Linked DNA regions of Arabidopsis thaliana. The protein of the gene in region 1 interacts with the protein of each later gene in a pairwise test. Each region holds a gene or a part of one and is shown on either strand. Other genes may lie near its edges. The genes, in order: AT1G62520 and AT5G41350.

What was found.
Region 2: the proteins of AT1G62520 (region 1) and AT5G41350 interact in a two-hybrid assay, tested with the Arabidopsis thaliana proteins (one large-scale study listed by BioGRID).

What each region holds. Positions count from the first base shown.
Region 1 is NC_003070.9:23,137,325-23,153,476, reverse strand, and holds AT1G62520 (sulfated surface-like glycoprotein), read right to left. Parts: upstream 9,093-16,152; 5' UTR 8,972-9,092; coding exon 8,129-8,971; 3' UTR 7,946-8,128; downstream 1-7,945. Other genes in the region: FMO GS-OX2 (flavin-monooxygenase glucosinolate S-oxygenase 2), read right to left, coding at 1,064-1,607; AT1G62530 (hypothetical protein (DUF863)), read left to right, coding at 6,091-6,204, 6,321-7,145; AT1G62515 (uncharacterized protein), read right to left, coding at 16,064-16,126.
Region 2 is NC_003076.8:16,535,323-16,552,931, reverse strand, and holds AT5G41350 (RING/U-box superfamily protein), read left to right. Parts: upstream 1-8,959; 5' UTR 8,960-9,543; coding exon 9,544-9,546; intron 9,547-9,720; exon of another isoform or gene 9,721-9,767; coding exon 9,768-9,908; intron 9,909-10,078; coding exon 10,079-10,508; intron 10,509-10,617; coding exon 10,618-10,727; intron 10,728-10,876; coding exon 10,877-10,906; 3' UTR 10,907-11,470; downstream 11,471-17,609. Other genes in the region: XPB1 (DNA repair helicase XPB1-like protein), read right to left, coding at 94-237, 569-625, 730-952, 1,035-1,203, 1,286-1,358, 1,455-1,498, 1,586-1,595; XPB2 (homolog of Xeroderma pigmentosum complementation group B 2), read right to left, coding at 3,811-4,182, 4,400-4,480, 4,583-4,696, 4,799-4,871, 4,959-5,122, 5,418-5,611, 5,699-5,774, 5,960-6,297 and 9 more; UBC4 (ubiquitin conjugating enzyme 4), read left to right, coding at 12,976-13,019, 13,119-13,198, 13,582-13,696, 13,783-13,835, 13,933-14,061, 14,494-14,636; AT5G41330 (BTB/POZ domain with WD40/YVTN repeat-like protein), read left to right, coding at 15,104-16,480; AT5G41320 (stress response NST1-like protein), read right to left, coding at 16,943-17,609.

The DNA.
Region 1 (16,152 bases):
CTAAAGATATAGATAGTTCTGATAGTTTTAGATTATATGTTAGATTGAAGTCTTAAGTTATTCATCAAGATCGGACGATGTATCTAGAAAATTGTAATCTAAAATCCAGCAGTGGCAAATGATTCAATCACTAACTGGTTTTTATAAGGGTAATATTAGAAACTAACTATAAAATTGAAAAGAATCAAGTAACTAACAATTGTCAGTTTTTCTACGGATAAATAACTATATGACGGCATAAGAAAATACAAAACTATCCTTGCAAGTTGAACCAAAAGCAGACTTATGTAGATATATTTGATGTTTTTTAGCAAATCGCATGAAACATGTTAAAATAGCACGATATTTATAAAAAATATGACATTTTATAACGTACATTTTACACAAATAGCATGTTATATAAACAAATATCGTTTTATTTGAAAAGTTGAACCAGGAGCAAGCTTATACGAAGATAAAATAATAGATTTAAGAAAGTTTTAACATTTAAATCATGTTTTTAGAAGAAATTACATGTGATTTAAATAAATAATGTGTTATATGAAAAAGTAGCATGTTGGGAGAGAGAGATTTCTAGTTATCACGTGTAATTCAAAAAAGTATCGTCGTATAAAAGAAAATAACATACAATTTAAAAAGAAAACATAACGACGGAGATTCCAAGAAAGAATCAAAATCGAATAAAAAATGACAAATCTTCTGCAAATTGAAGGAGAGATGATCTATCAATATAAATAACGTTTGAGAGCCTAGATTTATCGAAAAAGAGATCGGGTGGTTGTGATGGTGGAAGATGTGGTGGTTGTGGTGATGGGAGAAAGAAAGATGAGATGATTCTAAGTGTTTTATTTGATTTTGAAAAATACCATGTAATATATATAAAATACGAAAAATGGGTAAAAAAGTAATTGCAAGTGAAGAAAGAGAGTGTGGTCTGACACCATGGCTATTTTGTTAGTTCTTTTACAATCCATAGTTTTATAAAAAATGTTACATAAATATATGTGAGAAAACAAAGTTATTTTTTTAAAAATAAAATAAGTAGTTAGAAAATGATCTTTACCAGGAATATGAGCAACGTTTGGTTCTGTATAGTGTCCACTGCAAACAACAACGGCGTCAAAGATCTCATCGTGGGAAACACCGCCAGAGGTTTTAGACCAGACCCTCCATTTCCCGTTAACCGGTTCAACCCGAACCACCTCGATCTCGAACCGAACCATCTCCTCTAGGTTAAACTCTCTAGCAAAGTCTTGAAGGTACGCAAGAACTTCCATGTGGCTCGGATACCGTCTCGAGTCTCTTGACTCGTCATCGAAACGAGGCACAAAAGGGAAGTCCGTGAAACCCATACATTCTCGTGGGAGGTTGGTTCGGAGAGACTCGTACACGCTCGAGTGGACTATGGAACGGGTTGGGTCAAGGCTAAGCGGGTCGGATTCGGCTTTGGGTGAATAGATCCAGAGACCTCCTACTTCTTTCTCCCGCTCTAATACGACAACAGTGTGACCTTCACGACTGAGCTCCCTAGCCGCTACGAGACCGGCTGCTCCGGCTCCGATGACTACCACGTGTTGAGAACTGATCGGGTTTTGAGCTGGTGCCATATATTTGAACTTTATGGTATGGTGGATTTTTCTTTATTTGGTAGGAGACTGTCGTATGATCTCTGTGTTTTGGTTAAAGGTCGTTCCGTGCTATTAATGGGCTTATATAATAGAACTGAAACAAGATGGCTAATCATCATCATTTTCGTACTTTAACCAAAAACAAAAAAAAAACCATCTTTGTTGTAAGAACAATATACTTCATACAAAAATATTCGATCATTCTATTGTAAAAATGGAAGGGGAAATATCCGAAAAAGCACAATTTATTTTGTTATAAAATTAGCTGAAATTGTTTTGTTGTCAGAACAATACACAAACTAATTTAACTTAATAAAAGAATATGATCGAATTTAAAATCTGATTTTCTTCATTCAACAACCGTTACCGGTGTAAACCAAATCGTCAAAATAGAGTATATAGGCATGGCTGCCAGCTTGAACTAAAATAGTAAGAGACTTTTGACGGATCTAGGAGTAGTGAAGCATAGTGATCCGATGTTGATGTTTTGTGATAGGAAATCAGCATTGCACATTGCTGTTAACCCAATGTTCTATGAGAAAACTAAAAATATCAAAGCGGATTATCTTAGTATAAGAGATGTGGTTCAATATTATTACATATAATGTTCGAACCACATAGCCTTGAGAAGTTCCTGTTTTAGCTACTTGTCCAAGTTGAGCGTTTGTGATTTACATATATACTCAAACTTGAAAGGAAGTGTTAAAGTTTTATATGGTTCTACAATTTTCGGAGATATATGTTTATTAATTAGAGTGGGTACGGGATAAATCTTATGTTAAGATAAGGATTAGTAAGTTTAGTGCTTAAATTAATATATATAATTGTGTATTAGTGTATATATATATTGGTGCATGTGATCAATAAACTTAACTTTTCCCAAATCATCTTGAATTTTGAAACCATATTGAAAAACCATTGTTAAAAATATTTTCAATAACTGGATATTAAAATATTTTCCACAATCAATACTTCAATAGTTCTAGTTTTAAAATTCATAATAGAAAAACATAGGATTTATCATTTTAACATTAATTATTTAAAATGTGTGATTAAATTCATATATACCTCAAATGAAGAAAGAGAAGGAAGAAAAATATTTCATCCATTTCAAAATGTAAGATGTTTTGGAAGTTAGGACAGAGATTGATAAAATTTATGCTTTTAGTCAAATATATATTTTTAATAAGAAATACTCGGTGAAAGCCAATGAAGAAAAACAGTCATTTAATTCTTTATAAACCTTTTAGATAAAACTTTTTAATTAATATTTCTTTTATATGAAGATATGAAAACATCTATATTTTGACTCAAAAGAAAAACTCTAAAACAACTTATATCCCGTTTTAAAACGGAAAGAGTAAGTTTTAGCTTGGATATTACAATTTCTTAATTACATTTACCGATTTACGGACCTTGATTGCATTTTGAAAGGGACGGGCCATGGACCCAGACCTAACCGCAAATGGATGGACACGTACCCTCTCTTTCATTTATCTTCTTCAACGAATAGCCACCTAAAAGTACGAAGGCTTGGACCGTTCGGTTAATTGCGTTTTGTGGGTTGAGTGAAATATTTAATAAGCTTACTATTTAAATCGTCAAGTCATGTTATTTCAGTCTTTGCATAATTCACGTGTTTTGCTACCCGGCAAAATCGGCAACTTTATCTCAATCATTGTAGAATCAAGTGAAGAATAAACGTGACACAACTACCCGATTTTTGTTTGTAGCTTGTACATTTCTTCCTTTATTTTTTTTTGACATCCGTAAATTTCTTTTTTCTTTTTAGTAAATTTCTTGATTTTTTCTAATCCAGAAAAATCAAATTCTGACTTTATCCATCAATAATAGAGTTTTATGCAAAAAAAAAAACAATCTTAAAATCAACAATTTTTCAACTACCATTCATGTCGAAAAAATGCAAAATCATATGAAGTAAAAAAATAATACGGTATTGTATATAGCCTATTTTAACAACTTTACATATATTGATTTCATATAATTATTCTGTATTTTTTGGACGTGAAGGATAAAATTACAAAAATAAACGATTTTGACGTTTTTTGGTACAAAAACCATCAATAACATGGTCTTAGATCTTAACCATATATGGTTCCTACAAAAGTCTTATACATTAACTTTGTGTAGGTGATCAATCTACATCAATAATTTGGTCTTGTAGGGATTCTTCAAAAGTCATCATGTAGGAAACATTTTTAAGATACATTAGTCGATCAAGCATCCCTTACCCTTGGGTATAATAACTAGAGCATATAGATCAAAGATTGGACTACCGAGTAAAGCATCATGAGCAGTAAAAACAAGAGTTATCCGCGAAAGTAATGTCGGTTTTATATGTGATAACGCATGCTTGAGTTCGAGTACGAAAAAGAAAAATAACAAATTTGATAAACCGATAGCGAGGAAGGCTTTTCGAAAAAAAGCAGAGTCAAAACTTGTTTTTATCTTTTATCGTTCTATATTATTTTTGATAATTTTGATGATATGTTTGTATAATTGGTTTGAAAACTTGTTTTTTCTCCTTAACGTCTTAATAAATGAAACAGAGTAATAAAGAAACAGAGTAAAAAAAACAGAAATACAGAGAAAACGGACTGCAAAACATAATAGATTAGAACCAAAGACAAAACGGAAAAAGCTCATCCCATGCAAGAGTTGTACTTTAGACGTCATCGACTCGAACGGCTTTCCACTGCTATCCGTTCATGCAACCAAGCCGGACCACCCAACGCTAGGTATGAAAACTTGTTTAGAAATAATAAAAGACGTTAAAAAATCAAACTCTCAAAAGATAACTAGCAACAGTTTCTCACTCTTTCCAAGCAATATAAATGGGCCTTGGACCCTATTTTGCAAAACTAAAATATAAATTGAAGGCCCTTATAAGCTAATGAAGTTGATAAAACGAAAAAAGTTTGGCCTTGTGCCGTGGGCAGAGCCCATAAACCGGCCTGACTTCATGCCTTATATAGATTACATAGATCTACTATTTGTTTTGGTAATTAGATTTCTTTGTTACCATAACCATTTGCTCGCTCTTTTATTTTTATTTTGGGCAGCTTTTATTGTTTTTGGCAGTCTTGCTCGCTCAACCTAAATTTCCAAATCTAACATAAAAACAATTCAAATTTCCTCTGAGTCAAATTACAAAAGGAAATATACAATCATTGTGAACACAAAGAAAACAATTGAATATACAATGATAACTAGAAAAAATGGAAACAAAAATATTAGAATCTAAAATATTTTTGTTTTAATATAAGAAAGTGTTTTGCTTATGCCATTGATGGAAATAGAAAAATTATTGTATGGTTTTTGATATTCTTTTGAAAGTATGTCTTTGAGTTATAAAAAAATAAAAAGGATAGAAACGAAGTTGATATATATAAACATAAAAATGTTTGCTAATTGTGCCCACTAACACAATAATAACCACTAATTCTCAATCTCTCTAAAAATAAAAAATAATAAAGAGAAACACTTCTCGCTCCTCATGGTAAGATTTCTTCTGTAATTCCTATAACCCTATACAAACAGACCTGACATATATATATATATATATCTGTTGATTACATCTCAAAGACTCTAACCATGAATATTGTCTTACTAAGATTACTTCTATTTGTCTCATAGGTCTGTTGGTCAATCTAACAATTGAAAGCTGCAATTTTATTTTCTGGGTAATGATTCTTCTCTCTTGTTTTCCCTATTAAAATTATACTGTCTTTGAATTAGTTTTTGAATTATTCATAGTAGGAATATATTGATTTTTCCTCATTATATATTAATTGTTCTTTTGTCGATAATTTTGGTTAGTCATCATTGAAATCTCCGGTAAAAGTCATACTTAATGATCAAAATCATTTCTTTGTTAGTGTCACGAAATTTGCATGTTTAGAATAGATGCATAAGAAGAGAAATTGATTCTCTCTGTCTATGTATGTGAATGATCAATACAAGTTCAGTTTTTCATGAAATTTTCTGCAAATTAGGAAGGTTTTTCAAAGGATTTTGGATTCAGAACCTTTGAAAATCTGAATATATTTACTTTTAAACAATGATTAATGGTTTTAGTTACTTCTAATTAGATCAGTACCTGATAAAAATCTTAGTCAAATTTGTTATTCGATTTTAGTTCTTGATAATGGTTCTGTACAGCAATATTCAATAGTTATTTATATTTGTCATGTTAGAAGTTATGCAGCCATAGATTATGTGTATACATTTTCATAGCTAGTTTTCTTTTGTAAATGAAATCATTTGGAATCTGTAAAGGCCTGATTCTAGGGTTTAAGCTCGATTCTCTGTTCCAATTTTTGTGGCAATGTCACAGTTCTAACGATTTAGTTGATGTTTTGAGTATGGATTGTCTCATTATATATCCATTGCATTTGATAGAGAGACGTCCTATGGAGAAAATAAGACAAAAGGCATTGTAATGTATCTCCACGGTTTGTCCAAGGACGAAATTTTGTGCAAGAAACGTTTTGAATCGTATGAAGAAAGTTCTAAGAAAAATCAAATTAGAATGGTCACTCTTTTTGGGCAGCAGGTAAAGATTTTTAACGTTATGTCGCTAGTATACTATTTTAAATCTTTTTGTTCTCATTGTTGCCTTTGTTCTTAATTAAAATAGCAAAAATACATGTTCATCAACTCTCATTTCAGGTGTATACAGCAAGAGACGAGAGCTTTGTGTCGTGTAATGAGCAGGTGAATAGAAACTGCCTTAATCCACTGATGGAAGATTGTGATCTTCAACTTCCTGAAAATCATGAAAGCGTCGAATACCGAGAATTCCACAGCATTGGTTCTTCCCAAGATAGCATAGATTTGAGGATTGAAGCATATGGCACAAATTTGTGTGGCAAGAAAAGTGAGAAAGTGAATATTTCAGATGGATCATGTTTGCTGGATCTTAATAAACCCCCGGCTTACGAGCCGGTTTCAATTGATCATCAATGCGGTTTAGATGGTGTACATGAAAAAGATTGTTCAGCATCTCCAGCTTCATGTTGCACCGCAGAAAACAATTCAAGGACTGAAGGAGAAGATTCGTGTGAAGTAATTCAAATGGCAGCTGAATGTTTAGTCCACATCTCAGCTGTTTCTCATAATCAAAGTCACGGTGTCCAAGAACCGGGTCGTTCTTGCGATTCATTTGAGCTACATACTTTAGAAATAAGAGAAACTGTCCCTGAAGAGCTCTGTTGTGTATCATCAAAGGCCATATATGACTTCAGTAAGAAGAAAGAGTTTGGAGTCAAGCTGAGAAGAGGGAGGAGAATGAAGAATTTCCAAAAGGAGATACTCCCGGAGCTTGTATCGCTCTCTAGACATGAGATTCGAGAAGATATTAACCTCTTAGAGACGGTTTTTAGATCGAGAGATTACAAGAAAATGCAGGGGAAGACTAAAGATGGAAAATGCAAACCAAACCTGAGAAACACCAAAGGTTTGACTCAAACGTATGTAGGTAAAAGAAGGAGATGATGAAATTCACGGTGCTTGAGGTCTTATAGACATTTGCTCTAGCTCCATTGGTTTAGCTTTAACATATAGCAGTTTTCAAAATCATTCACTATATTGAAAGTTAGAGGAGGAAGTTGGAACTTTGTTCGAGTCTATGATCTTCAAAGATTAGTTGGTTCTTTTAAATTCTTGAAAGATTCGCTAGGACTGATTCCGTAAATTATTTTATGGGCCTAATGGGCCCAACAGGCCTAATTGTTTTTTTTTTTACATCAACAGGCCTAAATTTTACGCTTCTGTTATTTCTTCAATTTTTCATCACTTGTGCATTCTAAATATTCTTCTCCCTGCGGATCCAATGTAACTTTCATGATTTCTCATTTTCAATTTTTACTCTTTTTCTCTTCTTCTTTTTTTGACTTTAAATCTTTTACAAATGCTCTTTAGTGGGAATCACTTTTCACTGATTATTCCTTCTTTTGAACTACTCTCATCTCTCAGTTAAAATTTTGAAATTATTTATTTTATATTAAAGAAACGTTACAAAATTTGAAATTTTCCAACTATAGCTTTTCGCTTTAAGGAAGTAGTCGTGTAAGTAACGTAAAAGATATTTTAGTGGATAAAATATTTTACTATAGATGGAAGAAAATTGAATGTAGAATCAAAACCCAACTGTAAAAATTAATAACAATTGACTGTGTAATAAAATCTATTAATGGCATTGTAAAAGCCAACGCACCAAAATATTCACTATTTACGACATCATTTAATAAGAAAATATTTTACTACTAGTTGGGAAAGAAAGAAAGAAAGAAAATCTACTAATTGCCATTTTTTCTTGTCGTCAACAAAATTAATTACCATTTATCAACACAATTTTCTACCAATTTTACATTGGAAATAAAAACAAATCCCTAAACATTAGGGGAAAATTGCGTTGATAAATGAAATTACAATGTCAAAAAGTTAGAAACTAAAATAACTTTTATTTTTTTGAATTTTTACAACCGATAGATTATGAGAAAACAAGGCAACACCGCACGTGTATCGAACACGAGCAACTCTCCGTCGTCACCACTCACTGAGTCAAACCGTGACCTCAAATCCGAGTCATACTTTAACTCGTTTTGCTTAGTGACCCGACCCGCTATGACCCGACAAACCAACATTGCCTTCCTCCCTTTCCCACCGCCAGCTTTCTCATTCGCCGTGCTACTTCCGGCAAACGTATATATCGACGCGCCACCGCCTTTTCCTCCCAAAATACCCCACGCGCTGCCACCTCCACCGTAACTTGGACCCAAACAGTAAAACCTCATTGTTTCATTCCCGTCGGCAACCGAACGCGCGTTCTCTTCACGCGCTTTCCCCACGCTCCTAGCTTTCACGGCTTCACGATACTCTTCGAACCGGGTCAAAGTCTTAGACCCGTTTTGCACTTTGAAAATCATTTCGACCCGACCCGAAAACGGTTTCGGACCCCAGCTCGTCTGAAAGATAATCTCCACCACATTACGTGACTGATGACCTTCCGATAGCTCCGTCAATGTCGGTAAAAACGGATCACGATCACGAACTCCGGTTGATCGGATCCGGGTTGATGGTGATAAAACCGGGTCGGTTTCTCGTTTATCCGGTTTTGGATTGGGTTTCTTCGGTTTAGGTTTGGGTTTTTTGGTTTCGATCACATCTTTTAGACTCTGTGTGCTTTTTCTGCAACTGTAGCTTGACATGAGATGTTTCGGACTCGGGCTCGGATTCGGGTTCGGGTTTTTAATCGGATTGTAAACATCATCGAAAGCTTTCGACTTGCATTGTAACGATTTGACCCACCCATTTGCCATAATCAAGATCCGGAACCAAAGCTCTCTGTTTTTTGTTTTTCTTTCAGTCTCTCTCTCTCTCTTTAAAAACTTGGAAAAGAAACAGAAGCAGAAGAAGAAAGCAACATGGCGCGATGATGATGATGAATATTAAAAGTGTACGTCGAAACTTGGGAGTGTAAATTACGGTATTACCCTTTAGTTTAATATAACATAGTAATTTTTTACAACATAAATTTATTTTTTTGATTTATGTAAGATGATTCTACGATATGACCCCATTCCTTCATATCACTTTTGTCTTATTGATTTTAAGTTTTTTCAAAAAAATTATAAGAATGGAAAATTTGTTTTTTGATTTTATGTAAGGTAATGCAGAAAAACAAGACGGAAATAAATGTAAGATAAAAATTGACAGCCGGATTTTATTGTTTTTATTTTGGTACAGTCTTGTGATTCTTGTCTTTTTTTTATCATAAATGGATCACAAAAGAACACGAATAACATTTTTTAAAAATACGTCAACTTCGTAACTCTATTTGTTTTTATCTCAACAATAGAATTTCACATGTAATGTCTATTCAAGTCAATTAAGATATCTGGATCTCTTAGTCGATGACAAAAATATTTCGAAATCAACGTAAATTTTACGCTATCTTACAAAAAATATTCAATACAAAATAATGATTTCATTTCAACCTTTTTCTTAGAATACGCATTTCTACTTAATTTGTATATCTTGTTTATCATACAAATTATAAGTTTTCTTCTTGTCATAATTAATTAAAGCTAGTGAGCTAAAACAAAACTATATGTATTTCTAATTTTCTACACCATAGAATTTTGTAAGAATCACGATTCATTGTCGTCTTTGAATCAATCAGTGGTCAATGGTAGCTTGTTTGTAACTTTAAAAGTAAAACACCAAAATAATAAAAGATTCGAAGATGAATTAGAGAAAAATTGCACACAAAAAAAAAAAAAAAAACTATTTCTAACTATCGAAATTGTATATATATAAGCTAGTTTACTGTAACTAATTACTAACTTTGTTACTAACCAAAATGAAAGTCTATTTCAATTTATTTTGTCCTCTCATGGAACCCAAAATTTGATGCAATCTGACTACTGACTAGCTGATGTGTTTTCACAAAACATTGTATCAGTGAGCAAGTGATAAAAGCTATCTAACTTCACAAATTGTGTCTGTCAATGCTGAATATATGTTTCTGCACTACAGCGAGATATAGTTGGCTGCTTTCTGGTTCAGGAGTTCACATAATTTAATTCATAAAATCAACTCAACTAACACTCTGAAATATACACAATATAAATATAATATAGAGAAAATTGTATACTACTCACTAGGATATGCGTATCTTAATCACTTGTCATGCTACTAATATAAAAATAATTGTTTGCTTTTAAAAATAGGAGGAATCTTTAGAATTTTGAGATTTACAAAAACAAAATGGAAGAATAGAAGAATAGAAAGAGAATGGAAGCTGCCAACGACGGACTATTAAAACAAATCGCACTGAAAATTTTGAAATTCTCACATAATGACACCCATTTTCTTATCTGTCGTCTTCCTCTTATTTTTTCTTAATTACACACTTAAATTAATAATTATAATAATCTATACCCTGATGATATTACAATTGCCTTGTCTAACATAAGTAAGCATTTGACTAATTAGTGATTAATGCGTATATATGACATTGTTGGTTCTGAATAGTGTTCAAATATTTTGTAAATCCGTTTGTGTCACTCAATATATAATCTATCATACCGTGAAAATTTCAATTTCAATGACAATTTAGAAAGTTTCTTAGTATGAACGATTATACACTTCAACAGTATGTATCATGTATGATGCGAGTTTAAATTCGAGTGACGGTGCATCGACGATACTAACACAAATTACTATACTACATGTTTGATCTTAGATATTATAAAGATTTAGGTTGCCACTAATTATATTTTAAAGTTTCTATTTGACGCAATTGCTTAGTTTATACAGATGATAAGTGTTTTGTTATACTATATGTCTATATATATGTAGAAGACATATTTTAAATATGATCTTCTACTTAAATATTGCTTTACTTTATGTGACAATAATTGTTATTATCTTTAGTTAAATTTTATACCAACCATATGATTCACAGCTCAGTATGAATATATATGCATTTATAAGAATTGATACACAAAGCTCCGGAATTTATCGAATATATATATAACCATGCCAGAGTTATACCAGCTTAATTTGGTTGTATTAGTATATAATAAATCGTAAAAATGAGATATTAAGTGTGTTTATGAGAAAATGTGTATGTAAAAAAAAAAACAGACATTAGAAGTTAGAACCCAAAAAAAATATCAGACATGTGCATTAAAAACCGTATATACACTATACTTGAAATCTTATGGTGAAAATATTTTTTTAGTAGTAAGAAACTTTTGGGAGAGTGGGTCGTGTAGTAACATGAGGAGGCCACAACGTTGATATATGTAAACACATAATTAAAGCAATTCTAGTAAACTATTACGAAAAACTAAACAAAAGAATAGAATAATACATACTCCCATCCCGCACGTAATCATAAATGGTTTGAATTCATGTCCATACTTGACTCAAAGTATTTAAATACTAAAGTCTAAACATCACTACGCATCCTTAACTTTTAGAAATCTATTCAAAATGACTCTCACTATCTATATTGGAAAAGTAGATCCATTTTATCAAAATTCCGATTAATTCAATATCATAAGAAGTATATATAACTAGTGAAATACTCTATAATTAAATTATTAAACAAAGAAATGTAACTATAGATAGTCGTTAAAACTTTAAACTCAACAAACTATATGTAGTATACTAAACAAATTAAACGTACAAATATATATTAATTTTAAATTAATTAAGCAAATCAATAAAATTTGGTAGAAAGTTCAAAGTGGTATATACTAAACCAACTAATACATATATATTGTAAACTGTATATATATGGACTAAGCTGGTAGATTCCAAAGTTTAGGGTTGCGTTGTTACTTGGAAAAGTTCAGTGACTACTTTGTGCAATCTAAGTATCTCTAGGGCTTAGTTTGCCATTTTCACTTTCATATTCAAATTGCATGAATAGTAATAGTATATTATAAAGTGTGTAATGATTATAAGATCCAAACTAAGTAAATAAATAAATCAAATATGGATGGAGCTAGTTTGGAATTGAAATAAAAAGGAGAGCCAAGGAGGAAGTTTGGTTGGGTAGAAACTAGGGTTTTGTGAAAGATGTAAGTTTGTAATTGTAATGTTTTTTTTTTCGACAGCCTTTTAACTTCACGCTTTGCCCTAAGAATCTTCTTGGTCTCCTCCGGGAACGGTGTTCAAATTTTAATCCTCCTTTTTTGTTTTTTAATCCTCAGTAACCGATTTACGTATATAATCCTGGAAGAAATAATCTCAACCAAAAATAAAATGTGACACTAGTTACTAGTTACGAGTGACACAAGTTGAATATCTCGAAAAAAATAGTTGGACGGTTGGACATTTAATTTGATATATTTTTTCAAATGGGTATACATCTATATGGTCAATATCAGCACCCCATTTTTCATTAGTTGATCTGTATTAGGATATACTTCAAATAATGAGATGTAATACTATTCTACCATATAAGGAAATCTCATTATGTATAAATACTCTTCTTATGTTAATGAATAAATCAAGTTCTTTTTAATTATATCATGGTATTAGAACCATCCAATCGTTGGATCATCCAGTGGATGTTGTTTCAACATATATCTACGCTTCAGAGCCAATAATATCTGAACGTAAGAAGGGTGTTAATGAAGAAAATCCCACATCGAAACTTGGAGAAATTATTAAGTAGTATATAAAGGGTTAGAACCACTCCATCTATTGCCCAGATTAGGTCGCTGGTACCATGTTAAAAACCCAAATCTATCATGGTAGCAGTGACCTAATTTGTTTTTTAAATGGCCGTCGTTGCTTGGCTTCAGCAACCGCCGCCTTTGTTCTAAAATCATTAACCTAGCCACCGATGTACTAACTAGTGTTGCTTCCATTATCTTCTATTTTCTACAATTTTTAAACTATAAATATATTTGATTTTACCAGTTATCTATTAAACCTAGCTACTATTGCCTCGTTTTCCATAAAAGCCACCGCTGCAGCCGTTTAACTTCTTCTTTGCCGCTGCTTCACAAGCTGTCGCACGTCTATCTTCTACCGTTTCTACAAGCCATTGGTGTCGTTGTTTTCTATGAAAGCCACAAGCTGCCGCTTCACTTCTTTTACTTTGTTGTCGTTTTACAAGTCGACGCTCTTCTATTTTCTACACATATGTTTGAAAATTTATTGTCCAAATTGGTGCTCGAAATTTCAGATCACCAAGTTGAAGGAGGGTATTAGGATATATTAGGATAAATTTAAAATATTGAGATGTGATACGATTCTATCGTATAAAAAAATCTCATTATGTATAAATACTTTTCTTATGTTAATGAATAAACCAAGTCTTTCTAAATTATATCATGATGGTATCATTTTTCCACATTACGGCTTTAAAGCGTGACGGTTTATTTTTACTAATAAACTACTGGCTATCAAGTTTGTAAGAGGTTGGTTCAAATGGTATAGAACATAAACCATTAATATGATTATTTTTGATGAACAAAATATTTAAAATCAGAATAAAAGTAATCATTTAAAAAAAAAGAATCAAAGCTCAATAATTAATAAGGTTCAGATCTTGTTGTTTTGGAGTTTACAACGTGTGAATTCAGAAATAACAGTCAATAATTTTTTTGATCTATGAAATAATAAATACAGTTTTATTTCATTATGAGCTCCCAATAGCTAGGTTTGGTTTCATTTGAAAAATGGATTTCAAAATTAAAATCTATCAATGCTAGAATCTATCAACATGATGCATTCCAATCTAAAGAGCTTTTAATGTACCAATTACATTTTTTCACCATATTTCAAGAATTCAAAGAACTTACGCTGACAAGAACGTACGCTGTTTATGCAGAGGTTGACCAAAAAAAGTATATTTATTGATGATTACAATCTCAATATATCACATATACACACACCTCTTATACAGTTATAATTTCCCTTCCATCTCTTTCTATTAAACAGAAGTACAATATAACTATAATTAGCATCCCACTCTTTCCTATATAGGCGATCAAATATCCTGCAAATCAATTAATGAAAAAACAATGATAGATTCATAACAAAATTCGATATTGGTAGGGTTGATAGATACTGGTACGGTTTTGCAATACTTGAATTTTGGGCCATTTGATGGGCGAAGGCCCAATATGTCCATGTGATTTTGCAATGGTTAAAATATTGGGCCAATTTTATGGATGAAGGCCCAAAACTCAAGAGTGTCAACTGTCGAGTATTGATTGAAGTGCAAATGAATTAAAAAATGGTTTTGTTATACAATGTGAACAAAAAATATTTTAACAATATATGGTACATGTAAAATTTTTAGATTATTACACTACTGAATTTACAAATCTTTCATTTTGTGTGATTTGATATAAAAAATGTCAAACGACAAGAAAGGTTAAGAAAATTCTTCGGAAACATTTTAAAAAGTAAATCTCAAAATCAATAACATCCGAAAAATACACAAACATAAAAAAAAAGGTTCAAAACCTATAATTGTAGATTATGTAAATAATTATAGGTTTAAAATAAAATGACTTCCACCTTCCACACAAAATGTTTGTGTACAGAAATTAATGTGTTTTGACACACAAGTTCATAATCTATAGAATGGATCATCTTTTGTCATCCATGCACACGTGTACGAATTGTAAATAAGACATCTTTAGTAATCTATGTGAAGTAGGCCTTTTATGTATTATCATATATCATCTTATATTGTTTTCAATTGTTTTTTCTTTTTTGAAGAAAATGTAAAATTTATTCGGAAAAAATGTGTTTACTCAACGGAAATTTGATCGATTTTAAGTTACATAAACTGAAAAAGTAAAAGAGAAACCAGCCTCCTTCAATTGTTTCGTGAAGGGCACAAAGAGAATCAGCAGCTCCACTATCACATATTCTGAATAATGTTCATTTCTTTGAAACATTAAAGTATGGAGATTGAACATCATGGTTAGAAATGTTTATCTCTTTGTTAACATTATTGTATGGAAGTAGAACATCGCAGTTGGAGTTTCTTTGAGAACTGTAAATGTATGGAGATTGAAAATTACGGCTTGACATCTTTTACATTCCAAACGGCTTAACTTTTTTTTTGCTTTTTTCTAGAGTATATATAATCTTACAACATTTAACAAACACATTGAACATTTAATTAGAAAACAACCAAAGGTTAATAACAAAAATTTGAAATGTTTCAAACAACTTCTACATATTTTTGGATAATCGAACGCAGAAGATACAAGGAAGTTGCTTTAAAAGTATACAGATGAAGTATATCTATATGTCAGAATGTCTTCTTTCCGACGATATGCCTAGGTTATAGAGCAATTAGATTGAAACTTTGTCATATCTAGATTAATAATGCGACTTTATATATTAAAAAATACTACCAAGAGGATAAGTTCAAGAAGAGTTTCATCATAATCTGAAGAACCTAACAAAAATCCAAATATTCACCTTCTGTTGTTTGCCAGATCAATGTCCAAGGACCACACATGGTTTTAATCTTGTCATTTTCCTGCAAATTTCAATACTAACTATAAGAAAATAATGATAATTCAATAATAAGATAATAATGAGAGTATGTGACTAAAAAGAATAAAGATTATGTAGATAAATCACTCGCGATAAAAAAAAAAGATTCATAATTTTATTAAAAATTATAGCTGAACTTACTGGATGTTTTTTCTTAAGAAAACTGGACAATATATATTCCAAGTGTTATATGTTTTATCTTATAGAAAAGAGTCGTGGGAAACTAAAGGTGCAAAACTTCTTATTTACCTTTTTAACAAAAAAAAAAACTTCTTATTTACCATAATATACAAAATGGACAATATATATTCCAAATTTTGCTTTTGTCAATTTGCCACCACAGAGTTATCTAGCACTTGAATTTAATCATATAAATTGTTGGAAGAATCTTCTCGAACCCAGTCTAGAATCAGCACTAACATGCTCTGTTTACACAGGACATTCATATATC
Region 2 (17,609 bases), on another chromosome or scaffold:
AAAGAGCATGACACCACGAGTTAAGTAAAGATCATACAACTTTACCAAACTCATCAATTCGATTACTTTTAAGAAGCATTAGGAGAAATTTACCTGTGCAGGGTCAATCTCAAATGAGTGAGTTTCTTTCTCTTCTGCTGCTGCTGCAAATTCCGCTTCATTCAATAGCTCCCCGGGTCCTGCTTCAAGTTCACCGCATGTTCTGCCGACCGAGAATCCATCACCGCCATAATATGGCTACCAAAAAAGTTAATCTAAGTTGGTTCGACATACTGTGGAGAATACAATGGTATTAGATTAAATAAATCAACAGTCAATGAATCAAGAGTTTAAGAAAAAAGGATTATGAGTTAATTTACCAACTGAAACATCGTTCCAAGGAACTTAGGAGTTAGGAATATAAACATGAAACCAAGAACCTGAGAGAATCAAAATATATATATATCTGCCACACTGGTGACAAAAGATGCAAAACACCGTTGAGAACAACCAAAAATGGTATGTATTTCCATCCAGCATAAAATCTTGAAAGCAAACATAATGAACTAAATGGAGGAGTTCAACATACCTCAGAAGAAAATCTAGCTCGGTTTATAACATCGTCGCTGAGAAGCCTTTTCAAAACCTGAGATTGTTTTGTGTTTACAATTGAGCAAAGGCAATGGAAAAACGAAAACCAATATCCAAATACACAAGAGCAGAGACAGAGCATCAGCCTAATGAACTTACCTCTGGGAATGGGGACTCAATAAAATACCGATTCTTCTTCAAAACCAGCTTTACTTTCCCATAATTAGCAGTAGAAGCATGGATGAACTCAATCATCTCCTTGGGTAGCTTAGTCTTAGACAGTTTATTCAAAACAGAAATGATAGTTTCTGTCTCAAGACCAACGGAAACAGCAGCATACAACGAGTGTGGGGTTAAATTATACTCGTGCATTGACTCAGGCCTGAAATAGTAACAAATGAATGAAAATCAACAACAAAAATCATAACTTGTACATTGATATAATCACCAAATCAAAATCGAACCTGCAAACGGGTTCAGCAATGGCGATAAGAAAGTCATAAGCTTGTTTATAGAGAGGAGAAAATGTCTCCAAGAAAATCCTTCCATCAGCACAAGCCCACAAAGGCCTGTTTCCATGATCTGGCTTCAACTCCAATTTAGTAAAATCTCTCTTCTTCTCCTCTCCTTCACCTTCAAAAACCATTATAACTTTTCAATTCAATTTTGTTCCAAATGTATCCATTTGTAAGTAATAAGTATGCTACAATCTTACCATCACGAGAGTCTTCATCAGCATCATCATAGTAATCTTCAGCGTTTTGGATGTTCTTCATCTTTTGATCATCCTGAGATTTGACAGTACAATTACACTCACTAACTACCATCTGAAGAGCCCTAATTGATAAAATAAAAAATTGATCTGGAGAAGAATCAAGACGAACCTTGCCACCATACTTCATCTTCTTGTTAGGTCTTCCTCTTTCACCTGAACAACAGAACTTCACAGTATTGGCATACTTTTGTTTGGCAAGATAAACTAAGCAAAAATCAGTAAGATCGAGCTGCTTAATACCGTTTCCCATATTGATCTTCTTTTTTTGTCTTGTATCTTCCAATTGAAGTTATCAATTAGCGATTCCTGAGAAGAACAAAGAAGGAAGACAACCGGCGCCGTGAAAATTTACCGTTGAAAGCTATTTGGCGGAGGGAGTAGCTGCGTCCCCGGCGGATTTTGAATCGGATTCGGTGTCGGGTTCGGGTATCACTGGTTTAATCATTAATGTCAAGGAAGGGAAATGTAAAGTAGAAGATTCAAAAGGCTACAAATAAATAACGGATCAAATATGGGCTTTAATAGACCTCTTTTAATGTGGGCTTTCTTATTCTCACGTTGAGCCCATTCTTTTTTCTTTTAGCCTCTAAGATTATTCTTACATATGCAAAATGGGAGATGAAAGACAAACCATAGGATGAGGAAGGAAAGCGCATGAGAGCATGCACATAGTTGGTACTCATAGAGTACCATTAATAATATTTTACTATTAATTTTAATGTTTATTTATTGTTTGAAACTTTTTATAATATTGATAATAAATCTGTTTCCACCGGTGAAATCGTATTAGTATCATTAAAAAAAAAAAATTGCAAAATCGAAAAGATGCGTTTTCCCGACTAATCGAAAAAAAAAATTTCTCTCTTTTCACACAAAAACATGTTTTCCCAACTAATCATAACCCGCCACGTTATCAGAGACTGGTATCAAAGAAATCACTCCAGTGATACTACTTAAACCCAAATCAGTTATTTTATTCATTAATTTAATATTTTTGGGCTTATGATACTCATAAAAATTGTGCAATGTACATGGTCTGAGAATGGGAGACGATTCAATGCCCAAAGAGTTGCCACGTTCTTCTCCTTCTCAAGTGACACAAAGTATGAACCAAGAGGAGACCAATGTACATCCAACGCTCCTGCACAAGACAAATAGCATTACATTACCCCATCTGCAGCAGTATATAATCTCGGTCCCTTAGAGCATCCTCATTGCATATCTTTTATGGGTGTCTTTAAACTTTTAAACTACTTAAAAAAGTGGAAAATAATAAATGGATGTGTCTTAATAGTAGACATTTTACCTGTCAAAAGAGAGAGGGTCTTTAAATTTAATATTATTTAATATGAAAGACATTCATTGGAGGATGTGCAATGAGGATGCTCTTACCTTGGTCATATAGACATTATCTGGATGCACAAAAGAAGCAAGACCTTCTTCTTACCAACGTCTCAAAAACATGTCGGGCCTTCTTCTTACGATTTGGATAACATCTTAACAACTGGGCCATAACGGATGACTAATTGACCCAGATCTTCTTCATCAGTACGACACTTAAAAGAAAAAACACACAGAGTCGGGTCTTCTTCATCTTTCACCTGAACAACAAAATTCCCCAGAATTGACAATACTTTTTTTTGCAGGGTAATATGAAAATTAACCAAAATCAGTAAGATCGAGACTTTTATCGTTCCCCATATTGATCTTTTTCTCTTCATCGAATCAATTTTAGACATTATCTCTTGTCTTTTCAATCGATTATATCAATCCGGTGTCGAAGACAGAAATTCTACGACAGAGGGAAAACAAACGGTACCGTAAATATTTTCCGTTGTAAGCTAGACCGAGAAGCGAGCTGCGTCTCCGTCGCATTATGATTCGGATTCGGTGTCGGGTCCAGGTCCGGGTATGTCGAGTCCGTTACTGAGTTGATGTGATCATGTGAATGCAGAGAACGTTATAGCAGAAATGCAAACTCGATTCATATATAGAAAGGCTACAATAACGGATCCAATATGGGCATTTAGTAGGCCTCTTTTAGCGTGGGCTTTCTTTAATCTCAAATTGAGCCCATTATTATTTTTAATTCGAAATCATGACAAGTAATTATTTTTTAACCTCGAAAACTAAGTACGTTTTACTGTTGTTCAGGATCTGTCAACCAAATTATAATCGTGTTTTATATGTTGGTTCAGCGAGATATCATGACAGTTGACAATAACAAAATAATTTTCAAAGGTATTCTCGAGGCGATATCATGATATGCTAGAAAACAAATATCAAAAAAAAGGAAAGAACTTTCTAATATCAATTAATCAATTCACATAATAAAACAAATATCAAATGTTAACGGTCTTTTAAGGTAGGGTGTCTTCGTTTAGGTTTTCTTGATTTTGTGCCTGAAACAAATTTGCACCAAAGTTACAACTCAAAACATATAGCCGAATATGAGTTCTCTTGTCTCAAACATAACGTTTTTTGAAGATATTGTGTCGTTTGGTTGGGTCTTTAGGTTTCTTGGATTGGTTACCAGATTTTTGACGACCTGAGTTGTATTCCATGTAGACCCTTCCATTTGCACCGGACATTGCACTCATCGATCCCATGCTTCGTCGCGTCTTTAGAGCCTTTCCATCTGTGTCTTCTTCAAGTTGTTCTAAACCAACCATATCGTCTCCAGCATTCAACACCTTTCCGAGAAGAGACAACTGTTCTTCTTGACTGTGGTAGCCCAAGCTTGAACCCGCGTCCGGAGGTGGGAGGCTTGTTATTACCTTGAAGCTATAACCTTGGTCGATCAAAAACTGCTGTCTTTTCGTTGAATAATACATTTCCTGCATTTCAACATTCACGATCCTTACATCAGTCATTCTCCATTCAATCAGTCATTCGATTTTTATCGGTTCAGGAATTCAAGTCACGGGTTCTGGAAAGCAAAATTTTTTCTGTGTTTTGGAAACGAGTGCGGACTAGAACTGAATTATATTTTGGTTCTGATTTGGTCTGATGAATTTCAGTTTTTATGGCTACTTCAACAATAAAGTGATTTACCTGTGTATCGGTAGAAACAAGCGAGTAGAAGAATGCATTGTACTCTTCTTTTCCACCAGCCATTCTATCTTCAAGTTTACCCTGTTTTTGATCACGGAGAAATAAAACGTGTTGGATCCAACAACCAAGAGGAACTCTAGGAGAGACGCAAAATGTGATGAGTTATAATACTTAAAATCACACCTTAGCCCTAAGGATACGACCCAAACGTTGAGCCTCTTGACGTCTAGAACCAGCATGTGACGAAATCTGGATGATCACATTCGCTTCAGGGATATCTATGGAGTTATCACCAACCTGTAGTCAATAAAAGAAACCGAAACTAAGTTACTTGATGAAAATGGAATGAACAAGTCTCTATATATTCCCAGGTCAATGGAAAGGAAACAACGCTAATACCTTTGACAGGAATACAGTGTTCACGGTTTTACTGGTTTTAAACGCCTCGAGAATTTTTGTTCGTTCGATATGGCTACATATTGAACAAAGAGAACTATCAGATTGGAAACTGAGTGAAACATACAAAATTGTGCTCTCAATAGGTGGTTCTTTAACGAACCTGGTTGCACCGTAAATCATCGGTTTCCGGAGTTTCATTGCATACTCTGTAAGTGCAAAAAGATTGTCTGCAAAGACGATGATTTTATCCCCACGTTGTTGTTCATGGAAACGTATCAAAAATTCACAGGCTCTGAACTTGTTAGGGTTCATGACATAAAGCGCCTGCAGACACCAGAAGACAAGATATGTAAATGTCAGAACAATTGAAGGGGTTTCCTAGTTTCTATTACAGGGTGATCTATTAGAAGCATTTGCCAAATTATAAGACATACACAAATAACCTATAATATTGATGTTTACCATATTATAAGGTTCTAGACTACATCAAATTCATGGACTCTAGTGTATCAAAACAAACAAACATAAAATAAGATAGTCAATTATTTTAAGATCTTTATCCAGTAAAAATATCCAAGGAAAACAAAGATCAATGCGGAGAAAGCTTAGACGCATTAACCTGTTTTTTTTTCGAGTTCTCTTTCTTCAGATATTCTGCAAAAAACTCTTTGGTCATGGGACACCATACTTCAGCACACTGAACATTTGCAATAAAGCCTCCTTTAACTAAATCTAGCCAATTGGCTTCATAGAGTTTCGGGCCAATGAGGAAGTTTAAATCTGTAATTTTTTCGTCTTCTCTCACAAGGGTGGCTGAACAAAAGACCAAAAAAGAGACTTAGCTTCTGCAACTGAAGTATAACAAATAAAAAGGTATGTGAAAATGAATTTTTCATTTACCTGTAAGTCCTAGCTTGCAGTGAGATTTTGTAATACTGATAACTTTCCTAAACATATGGGCTGGAACCACATGCACCTATGAAAAACATAACTCTTAAAATGTCACGCATTGGATGGAAACTTGTTATTTGTAGATCCCAGTAACACTGGATAGTGGATACACATTCTAAATGAACCACATATAACTTTTCCGCAATGTAAACTACCAGTAAACACTAACTTCAATTCAAAGGCACATCACACTAAGAACAATTTGATTACCTCGTCCATAAGCAGCAACCCCCACTCTCTGTTTCTCATTTCTTCTATAATCTTCTCTGCTTCTTCAGATCGTTTACCACCAAAGGCAATCATATTATAGGTTGTCACAACAACACCAGCATTTCCACGGAATCGTTCTTTACTATCAGAAGTGAAACGGCATATTTGGTCATCTTTTATAGTAGACCACAACTTAAATTGGTAGGCCCATTGATCCACCGAGACAGCATTCGTTGCCAAACAAAGACAACTCTTCTTTATACGAGCCGCTGCAGAAACACCAACTAGAGATTTACCAGCTCCACAAGGTAACACTATAATCCCAGATCTTGCTCGTCCTGCAGAATCAGGAGTCTAGATCAGTCACAAGCTTTCAGGAGAAATAACAAAGATACTTATCTATTAGAAGTTCACAATGAAGCTAGATCAGAACAGTGTATGAAAGTACAAATCTATATATCTAAGAGAAGTTCACAATCAATTTAGCAGTCGCTGTAAACAAATTACTAAGGAAAATAAATGCGGGCGTAGACAGTTATATCGTATTACCGTTTCCAAACATTTTGCTCAAACTTTTTTCCTGGTATGGCCTTGGTTGTGCATGGGGCTTCAGTTCCATGTCAAGATCAGGATTAACCTGACAGACACCATCAAGTTATTAACAATCACGAACATCCAGTTCATATCATCTGATAAGTAAAAATTGACCTGAAGTGTGATAATTATTTCTCACATTATCGTTCCTGAAGTCATATTCCTCTAACATAGGGTAATTCAAGGCATTTGGCAAGCAACGCTGCTTAACATTCTCCACCTACACACCAAGAGCAGAAGAACATGACACCGTGAGTTGAGTAAAGATCATATAACATTAACAAAGTCATCAACACGATTTATTTCAGAAGCATTAGGGGAAATTTACCAGTGCAGGGTCTATCTCAAATGAGTGAGTTTCTTTCTCTTCTGCTGCTGCTGCCAATTCTGCTTCATTCAACAACTCCCCAGGTCCTGCTTCAAGTTCACCACTTGTTTTGCCGATCGTAAATCCATCACCACCATAATATGGCTAGAAAAAAAGTTAATAAGTTGGTTCAACATACTGTGGAGAATACAATGGTATAAGAGATATCAATTTCACATTCAATGAACCAAGGAGTTTAAAAAGAAGGATAATGAGTTTATTTATCTATTAAATAGTTCAAGAAAAAATTAGAATTTAAACACGAAACCAATAGCCCCAAGAGAATCAGGATAGATCTCTCTGCCGCATTGGTATCAAAAGATGCAAAAACTGTTGAGAACAACAGATCATGGTATGTATTTCCATCCAGTAATAGTAAACATAAAGCACTAAATTGAGGAGTTCAACATACCTCAGAAGTAAATCTTGCTCGATTTATGACATCATCACTGAGAAGCCTTTTCAACACCTAAGATTGTTTATATTTAACGAGTGAGCAAAACCAACAGAGAAACTACACAAAAATCCCATACGCATAACTAGAGAAAGAGGATCAGTCTGGTGAACTTACCTCCGGGAATGGTGATTCAATAAAATACCGATTTTTCTTCAATACCAACTTCACTTTCCCATAATTAGCAGTAGAAGCATGGATGAAATCAATGATCTCCCCGGGTAGCTTGGTCTTAGATAGCTTATTCAAAACAGAGATGATAGTTTCTGTCTCAAGACCAACGGAAACAGCAGCATACAACGAGTGTGGGGTTAAATTATACTCGTGCATTGACTCAGGCCTGAAATAGTAACAAATGAATGAAAATCAACAACAAAAATCATAACTTGTACATTGATATAATAATCAAATCAAAATCAAACCTGCAAACGGGTTCAGCAATGGCGATAAGAAAGTCATAAGCTTGTTTATAGAGAGGAGAAAATGTCTCCAAGAAAATCTTTCCATCAGCACAAGCCCACAAAGGCCTATTTCCATGATCCGGCTTCAACTCCAAATCAGTAAAATCTCTCCTCTTCTCCTCTCCTTCACCTTTAAAAACCATTATAAATTCTATTTCAATTTTGTTCCCAATGTATCTATGTTAATTATACGAGAGTAATCAATATTACCATCACGAGAATCCTCATCAGCATCATCATAGTAATCTTCAACGTTTTGTATGTTCTTCATCTTTTGATCATCCTGAGATTTTTACAGTACAATTACACTAACTAGAAGTGAAGAGCCTAATAAATAAAAAAAGTCATGTGGAGAAGAATCAACACGAACCTTCCCACCGTACTTCATCTTCTTTGTAGGTCGTTTTCTTTCATCTAAACATCAACATTTTCCCCAGTATTAGCATACTCTTTTCACCGGATAATTCAATAAACGAATCAAAACTCAGTACGATCGAGATTCGAGACCATTACCGTTTCCCATATTGATTTTCTTCTTTTCGCTCCTCTTAATCAAATCGATTTTAGGGATTGTTTCTCTTGTATTTTCAATTTGTGAATTCGCACATAACCTAAATTGTACGACGGAGGGAATATACAACCGTCTTCGTGGTAATTTCCCGTTGTAAGCTATTCAACGAAGCAAGCTGCGTCTCCGGCGAATTCGGATTCCTGTGTCGAGTCGGTGACTCGTTTGAAGCGGAGGAAGGAAATTGTTAAGCAGAAACGTAAGAACACGATTCATATATAAAGGCTGCAGTAACAGATCAAATATGGGCTTTTAATAGGATTCTTTAAATGGGCTTTATTCTTAAGTTTGAGCCCATGTTTCTTTTTTAAACATCGATAAATTATTTGCCGGAAAAAAAATAGTAATAATTTTACTGAAAATGGTACTTCCCAATTTATAATTTTTTGGTCGACACTTTTCAGCCGATTTTCAGTTATGTAATTTCATTATTGAAATTTTGAAAAATACATTGTAACGGAAAAAATAAAATAATTAATCAGCTAATTAATAATTGTATTAATGAATTTAATAAATCAGGTAAGTAAATATAATATTGAGCCCAAAAAGAGTCTTTGTAATTTCTTAGGAAAGTCATTTTGATAGAGCGCACGATAAACACAGCACCGCAAAAAGCACAGAAGCAGAGAAAGACGAAGACAAAACAAAAAAAGCTTCCCCCAAGAACAAAAAGTAAAATTCTCTCTATGATTTTGAGATTTTTAATTCCTCTTCTCTGATTCAATCTCGAGAAGATGATCGGTTCTTCTTTGGTGTTTGTTCTTGCTAGTGATCGCTTTTCTTTAGGTTTTGAGCTTGATTTTTGTGTGAAATTCTGTGGGTTTTTTTTTTACTGTTTTGATCCGTATTTCTCCTATGTGTTTATGCTAGATTCTGAGAATTCTGATGTTTATTGTTGCTTTTATAAGTTTCGGTTTAGGGTTTTACGGATTAGCTTGCTCTTAATGGAGCTTTGGTTCTTTTTGTGGATTCATTGTTTGTGTTGGAGTTAAATTCTGAGTAGAATTGTTTTAAGTTTTTGGGGTTTAGTGTAAAACTGATTTGAATTTATTGCAATTGTGTGTAGATGGTGCTAAAGAGAATGAGAATTGTAGGAGATTCACATAGGCTTGTAGTCGCAACACTGTTGTCTCGATTTTAATGGTTGATGTTTATTGTATCTTTGATTATTGAGAGTGAATTTGAACTGTTAGTAGCTGAATTGTTTTATTGTTGCTACTAGCATGATGAGTCTGATCAGACTTTAGTAGACAGCTCAAACTGATATCGAAAACGATAAAGCTTGTTTGAGTTTCTTGCATATAGATGATAAATATTCTCCTACTGATCTCAGAATGTAATTTGTTTCTTCACATATCTTGTAGGTTAGCATAGATGAAGAGTCTTCGGGTTTTGTAGTTTTTGTAAAACAGAAAAAAAAAAAAAGAGAAGAAGAGATGGGAGGTTGCTGTTGTTGTTCTTCTTCACGAAGAGCTGATGTAGATAATGGACCTGCGTACTACTACGTTAGTCTGATACTTCTCCCACTTCCTCGTTTTTTTTGGGTGTCCTTGCTTTGATAGGCTGCAAATAAATCAATCTTGATGTGCTTCAGGACACTAAATGAGTTAAAAGCCCCAACGGGCTTCGAGATTCATATGGGAATATAACTTGTTTTATGACTTGTATTTTGCAGTACCCAAGGGCAACAGAAGAGCGTGTGCCTTTATCTTCCGCTCATAACAGGACTTCCTCTGCAATCTCTACTGGTGTTGTAGTAGTAGACACAAACTTAGAGACATCATCTCCTGATGCTTATATACCACCGCCACTGCCTACCCCTTTCGATGTGCCTATAGGGATTCCTCAAACACCAGCTAGTGGTGAAGAGGCTACTTGTGTTGATATAAGAGAGGTTTCGGTGGACTCTGCTAATACCGAGTCTGCTCAAGAAACAGTTGATGGTATTACTCTCGGGGTTCCAACTACATGCTCACATAAAGAGACAGATAGCAAAATCCAAACAGAGATTGATCTTGAATCTACTGAAGAAATAGACCCGAAGCTATCAAAAGCTGTTTTTATACCAATAGAGGAAGAGGAGGATTGTCCCATATGTTTGGAAGGTAAAAGCTTGTTTGCCTTTCCCACATCTCAAAAACATATAAACATAATCGTACCTTACATGACTGCGAGAATGGGTTATTTATTATATTGTCTGTGCTTTTGATTCAGAATATGATATCGAGAACCCGAAACTTGTAGCCAAATGTGATCACCATTTTCACCTTGCATGCATTCTAGAATGGATGGAGAGAAGTGAAACCTGCCCCGTCTGCAACAAGGTACATTCTTTTATTCACTTCTCTTTGGTGTATGTCGAAAAACTCTAATCTCTAAGTAAACCGTAAATAATGAGTAGTTCCAATTTAGCTTGTTTACAAATTCATTTTAATTCCCGGGATATGTCTGAGAGGATCCGTTTGTTCTGCAGGAAATGGTATTTGACTCTACTCTTGACTAGCAACCCGCAAATGCCGCATCTTAGAAGGCTCAATTCTCTCTGTATCAGAAGAAAGAAATTGGAGAACAAGAGAAAAACTTAAAAAGAAAAAATGGGTAAGAATACACTAATAGCTGATCACAAAGTTGGATTTACGAAACATGTCAGTGTTGATATACATATGTTTGTGTACAGACGTTTCAAATCGTCTACAAAAAAACGGAGATTAAGAATTAGAGTTTGTGCTTTAGATTCACTTCTGTGAATAAAAAACGAGACAAAACTGATAATTTTTCTTCTAGATGTTTTAATTTTGGTAATTCTTGTTTATAGGTTATTTTAGGAGTGTTTTAAAGCTGGGGTTTCAATTTGGGTTTGATTCAGTTTTTTCTTGAGTTTAAGAAAAATATTAATCAAACTGAAATTGAGAGTTTGTTATGTATGGATTGGGTTTATTACGGTTCGATTTTAGTTTGGTTTAGTGCTTATTTATTTTCTTTATGTTGTTCTGTGATATGTAATATGAAAATTGTTTATACTTACTAGTTTGTAGTGTTTATGTTTTAGATTTCTTAGTTCTTCACATTTTCGAAACTTGGTTTGTTTAGTTGTCTCATTAGTTGAATATGTGATGTCGTATTGTCGTACATCTTACTTACATGAGTACGTCAAATTAAATGAGACTTATCTAGTAAATGATATTGTTACATGTAGATGCAATATTAGTCATTGCTTTGTTTAATAAATAATATTTGTCACAAGTGAGTAAGTGACAGATGAATAGTTGCTAATTATAGTGAATCATGCTAATGGTATATTGGACAAATATTTTTATTTTTTAAAAAATTTCCTGTCTAATTTGTTTTTTCTAGTTAAATACTTATACAGATTCATGTTTTTAGACTGTAATCGGGCATGACCATCCAACTATTTTTGTCGACCAACAACTTCAACGCGCCAGAAAAGCGTTTTGAGTGACCATTACTGTGTAAAACAGTATAAAATAGAGGTTTTTTTGTCACGCCATTGGTTTAAATGAAAAATTAAATTTAACAAAATTGAAAACTTTAAAAATAATAAAATCAGATAAACATAAGCGAACAACGAATAAAATGTGCAAAAAAAATCACCAAGTAAAGTAATTTGTATAAAAATATTCTTAGGGTTCTAGTTACTAATTTGTATACAAAACATAACACCAAGTAAAGTAATTGCTGTAAAAAACACTAATTAACATATTCTTAAGAATTATAAACACTAATACTTAGAGATACTTTAGGTACTTATATCGAGTAATATTTTGACTGAAAATTTACTATTTGACTATTCAAATATGTTATCTTAAGCCATTACAATCTCAAATACAAAAGAAAAAGAAACAAAAAAGAGGAAAAATTAGGGAAGTAATAATGAGAGTTTAATATTCTTAGTTAAATAGATTATACTAATAAATAATGAGGTATACAAATAGTTACTGATTTTAATGAATCATCATAAATAGTATATTAAACGTTTTTTAAAAATTTCTTAAAAATTATTTTTTTGAACTAAATACTTTACAGATTCAAGTTTTATAAAATATATTCCGAAAATATCTACGTGTTCGAAAAATATTTATTTTACGTTCAATTGATTCATTGTTTCAATGTCATTTATTATTAGACTATAAATATAGTTTAACTATGTGATTAAAAACCTTTTCTAAAATTTAATAATAATTACTATAAAACTTTATAGATTTAAAAGAAATAACAAAAATATGATCTAACTTTGGGAGAAAATAATTAAAAATTTTTAGGGAGAAAGTAATTGAAAAAGCAAAACAAAATCACAAAATTTATTACTAGTGAAGGGAGTGAGATTCTTATTTCTAACAAAGGATATATATTTAGAGATACGATCTCCTTCGGTGGTTCACTCCCATCATCGATGTACGTGAAAATATATAAATAAAAAATCAATAAACGAAAATCTTTCCTTTTTCTCTCACACATTTTTCTTCATCTCCACTCGAATCCGGAAGAAGAACAAAAACCAAAAAAAAAACCCAGAAAATCAGAGAAACATAAGCGAACCGACAGAGAAAAAAAATGTCTTCGCCAAGCAAACGCAGAGAAATGGATATGATGAAGCTGTAATAACTTTCTAATTTTTTTCTCTGTCGGTTTCATTTGTTACTTTTGATTTGAGTTTTTTGTTTCTATGATTGATTTGATTTGATTTTATATTGCAGGATGATGAGCGATTATAAAGTGGAAACGATCAACGATGGCATGCAAGAATTCTATGTTGAATTCAATGGTCCCAAAGACAGTAAGATTGATCTTGTCTGAGAATAATCCCCAGTTTCGTTGATTGTTGTCTCTAAATCAGTCACTAGTGTGCTATTTTGATTCTGTTACTTGTGAAAATGATGATAAGGGTATTTGTAATTCTTCCTGGTTTTCTTAGATTTTGTTCATATTAGTGTCAAAATTGCAATCCGTTATTTGTGGTGGATTCGGATCTACGGCGGTTCGATTCCACCATGTTTACACACTGTGTGTGGTTTACTTACTCGTGGTGGGCTTGCGAGTTTGCTCACCACGGGATTAGTTAGGCGCTTCGGCGAAGTTCGGTTGGGATACTCGGGTGTTAGTTGTGAAGAACTGTTGTTAAACTATTATTTGTGGGTTTAATGTGTGTGTTGGTGATAGGTCTCTATCAAGGAGGTGTGTGGAAGATAAGAGTTGAGCTTCCAGATGCTTATCCTTATAAATCTCCATCTGTTGGTTTCATTACTAAAATTTATCATCCTAATGTTGATGAACTGTAAGTCTTTTTAAATTCAATCCACTAGATGTTTTGGATCAATTTATTTCAATCTTTTTCATCTTTGGTCTCCTTTGTTTATGCAGGTCGGGTTCTGTTTGTTTAGATGTGATTAACCAAACTTGGAGTCCTATGTTCGGTAAGGGCGATATCAAATGTGGTTTATTTTGAATATTTGGGATCAAATGATTGCTGTTGTGATTTAACTTTATGTTTTTGGTTCTTCTTTTTTTCAGACCTTGTGAATGTGTTTGAGACATTTCTTCCTCAGCTTCTTCTGTATCCAAACCCATCAGATCCATTGAATGGAGAAGCTGCTGCGTTAATGATGCGTGATCGTCCTGCTTATGAGCAACGAGTTAAAGGTAAGTCGACTCAGATTCTCATGTTAAGAGATATATCAAGATTCTGACAAATCTGTTAGTTTCTTTCTCTTTTTCTTTTATTTGCTTGATGTGAGGTACACATATTTGCTTGGACCTGTTCTTAATGTGTGCGTTCGAGATTACCATTCTTAACACTAAGAGTTCCTCTCAGTCATTTTTCGTTTTAATGAATTAGAGCTTTTGTTTGGTTTATGTGTGAACTGAACTTTCGTAAATCTTGGAGCTAATGTAATGATCTGCAAGTGATTTATTCATTAGAATCTCATGATGAAGATAAAAGTTTCTGATCATTTTAAAGACTTAGGCATTTACAAGGTCTTGATAATGTTATGGGGATATTACGGTTTTTGGGGATATTTTGAGGAAGTGTGATGGTTATTTTGCTCGGCTTTGTTGGGTTTGCGGTTTCAGAATACTGTGAGAAGTATGCAAAGCCAGGGGAAGGTTCAGAAGATAAGTCTAGCGATGAAGAACTAAGTGAAGAGGAATACGGCTCAGATAATGAGGATGATGATGATGATGATGTTGCAATTGCTGGCAAACCAGATCCTTGAACCAGCTTTGGTAGGGGACTTGTTTTATTGTATATGATCATGAATTATCTCTGCTTATAACTCAACTGTGAAATCTATTTCTCCCTTTGTGCTTTGTTCACCTGTTTAATTTATCGGACCGGACGTTTGTGTACATTATTAGACCGAACCGAATTGTTAGTCTTTTCAATTTCAAATAAGTCTCTCTTACCGGTTTATACCGGTTATTGATTCGGTAATTTCTTTTCTTGAAGGCTATATGCATCGTTTAGATTATAAACGCATTGTACATATCCGTCTCAATAGCCAAAATTTACTAAACGCATTGTTCGTTTTGATTTGATGATCTCATCCACTTCAGTGGCCGTGTTAGCCTTGTACAAGTAAAAACTGTTCCTCTTCTCTGAAGTTTCACTGTTTATCCGTCTTATCATCCTCTGCCAAAAAAAAAAAAAAAAAAAGCGAAGAACGTCTTCTGATTTGCTCGTATGAATTTTCCGACGATCCCTCATGAATCGAACGTTGTCTCCATCAACGTCGGAGGCCGAATCTTTCAAACAACGAAGCAAACCTTAAGCCTAGCCGGAACCGATTCTCTCCTATCTCAACTCGCTACTGAGACAACTCGTTTCGTCGATCGTGATCCCGATTTGTTCTCCGTTCTTCTCTATATCCTCCGTACCGGAAACCTACCTGCTAGATCACGCGCCTTCGATGTTCGTGATCTCATCGATGAATCTAGATACTATGGAATCGAGTCTTTCTTAATCGATTCTCTCTCGAATTCGTCGCAGTTCGAGCCGTTCGATCTCCGTAGATCTAGGATTCTTCAATTGAACGGTCGAGATTCTCCGTCGAGTATCTCACCGACTGTAATCGGCGGAGGTCTCCACGTGGCGCACGGTAGCAAAATCACTTCGTTTGATTGGTCGTTGAGGCAAAAGTCGACTGTGTTGACTAATTTCTCCGCCGTGGATTCGCTTCTAGAGATATCTCCGGGAGTTTTAGCTGCCGGAGCTACCGATTTCCCTGGTTTGCAAATCATCGATCTCGATAACGGCGGATTCGTTCGTACGACTCTGAATTGGGAAAACGTTACTAGGTCTAGCTCAACGGTTCAAGCCATAGGTTCTTCTCATGAGTTTTTGTTCACTAGCTTTGAATCTAGTAGAAGGAACTCGAATTCGATTATGGTGTATGACCTTTCTAGCTTGTTACCTGTGTCTGAGATTGATCATTGTGAGATCTATGGCGCTGATATTGATTCTGCGATTCCATCGACTAAGTTGAAATGGATTCAGAGTTGTAATTTGTTGATGGTTTCTGGTTCTCATACTAGTCCTTCTGGTGTCAATGGTCACATAAGGTTTTGGGATGTTAGGTCAAGGAATATGGTTTGGGAGATTAAGGAGGCACAAGATTGTTTCTCTGATGTTACTGTCTCGGATAATCTCTCGGCGGTGTTCAAGGTCGGTGTGACTTCAGGGGAAGTTTTCTACGCCGATTTGAGGAGTTTAGGAACTAAGGATCCATGGGTTTGTCTTGGGGAAGAGAAGAAGAGAAACTTGAATGAAAGAAGAGGAGTTGGGTCTAAGATAGAGAGCTATGGGAATCATGTGTTTTGCAGTAGTAAAGGAAGTGGGATAGAGCTTTGGTCTGAAGTGATCACGGGTTTGGTGGGGAATGCAAGCCGGGATGTATTGGAAGAGAGGGTTTTTAGGAAGAATTCGTTGGGAAAATTAGCGGATTCAGGAGAAAACAAGATAACAGGATTGGCGTTTGGAGGAAATAGAATGTTTGTGACCCGAAAGGATCAGCAGTCTGTTCAGGTTTGGCAAAGTCCTAGTCGTGGAATATCTATCTAATGAGCAAGTATTAAGCTTTGGTTCGAGGTGATCACGAGTTGCTTAAAGCCGAATCCAACAAAAACTAGTTAGCGACTTACATTGTGTTAAAGAAGAATGAATGATCTTAATCCCAATACTTGATGAAGCTATTCCAACCATGAATTTCTTATCTCTGATAATCTTATAAAAAGGACTTACATCGTTCGTCAGACGAGGCTGTGAAGGATGTTTGCATTCTAACGACATGACCTTATACAAGTACTGCAGAGAGAAGCAAATGACGATGCTTGGCAAAATATCAAATTGCGGAAACACCTTTCGGGTTCAAACGGTGAGTTACAAAAGACACATCTATAATTCCACTAAAATTAGCGAGGATAGAGACATTTGTATTTTATTGGAAGAAAATCTGGTCAAATTTTTCGATCTAATTAAGGAACAAATAGATCACACTGTTGCTGTTGTCTCTGGAACAGGCCTTTATCTACCAGGGCTAGTTCTGTAATCGGAGAGGCCGTTATTACAGTTGCTTACTTCAGCTTCAGGAAATCTGTTACCGGAAAATCTTATGGCTCCACCTGCCATCATCAGACCTCCGAACATATTGTTGTCGTCTCTCTGCTGTGAAGAAGTCGCAGAATTCAGTTGTGCTGGAAAATTATAACCACCTGCCATCAGATTAGACTGAAAAGCTGCCGGAAAACCAGAAAAGTAACCATTGTTGTGCAACAGAGAATTCTCAAATCCTTGTCCTCCTGTGACTCCTGTCTGAAATTCAGAAAGATCAGGAGTCTGAGCTACTGGTTGTCTCATTTGAAAGTTGGTGTTACTTGCTGAAGGAGTAATCCCTTGGCTTGAAGAAGGAAACAACGAAGAAGGTACTGGAAAACTCTGCAATAGTGATGATGAAGACAGTTTTGGAAACAACGAAGAATGTACCGGAAAACTCTGCAACGATGATGATGACAGTTGTGACGCAAAAGGTGTCCCAAAGTTATGATCTTTCTGCATTTCAGGTCCTGTTATCTCCACTATTGATGATCTGTTCTTGTTGGTATTAGCTTCGCTTGTCTTCTTTAGTTTCTTACTCAGATTTGGAGCTTGAATGGCCAAAACAATACTTTTCTGACCCTTCACGGTCTCGTTC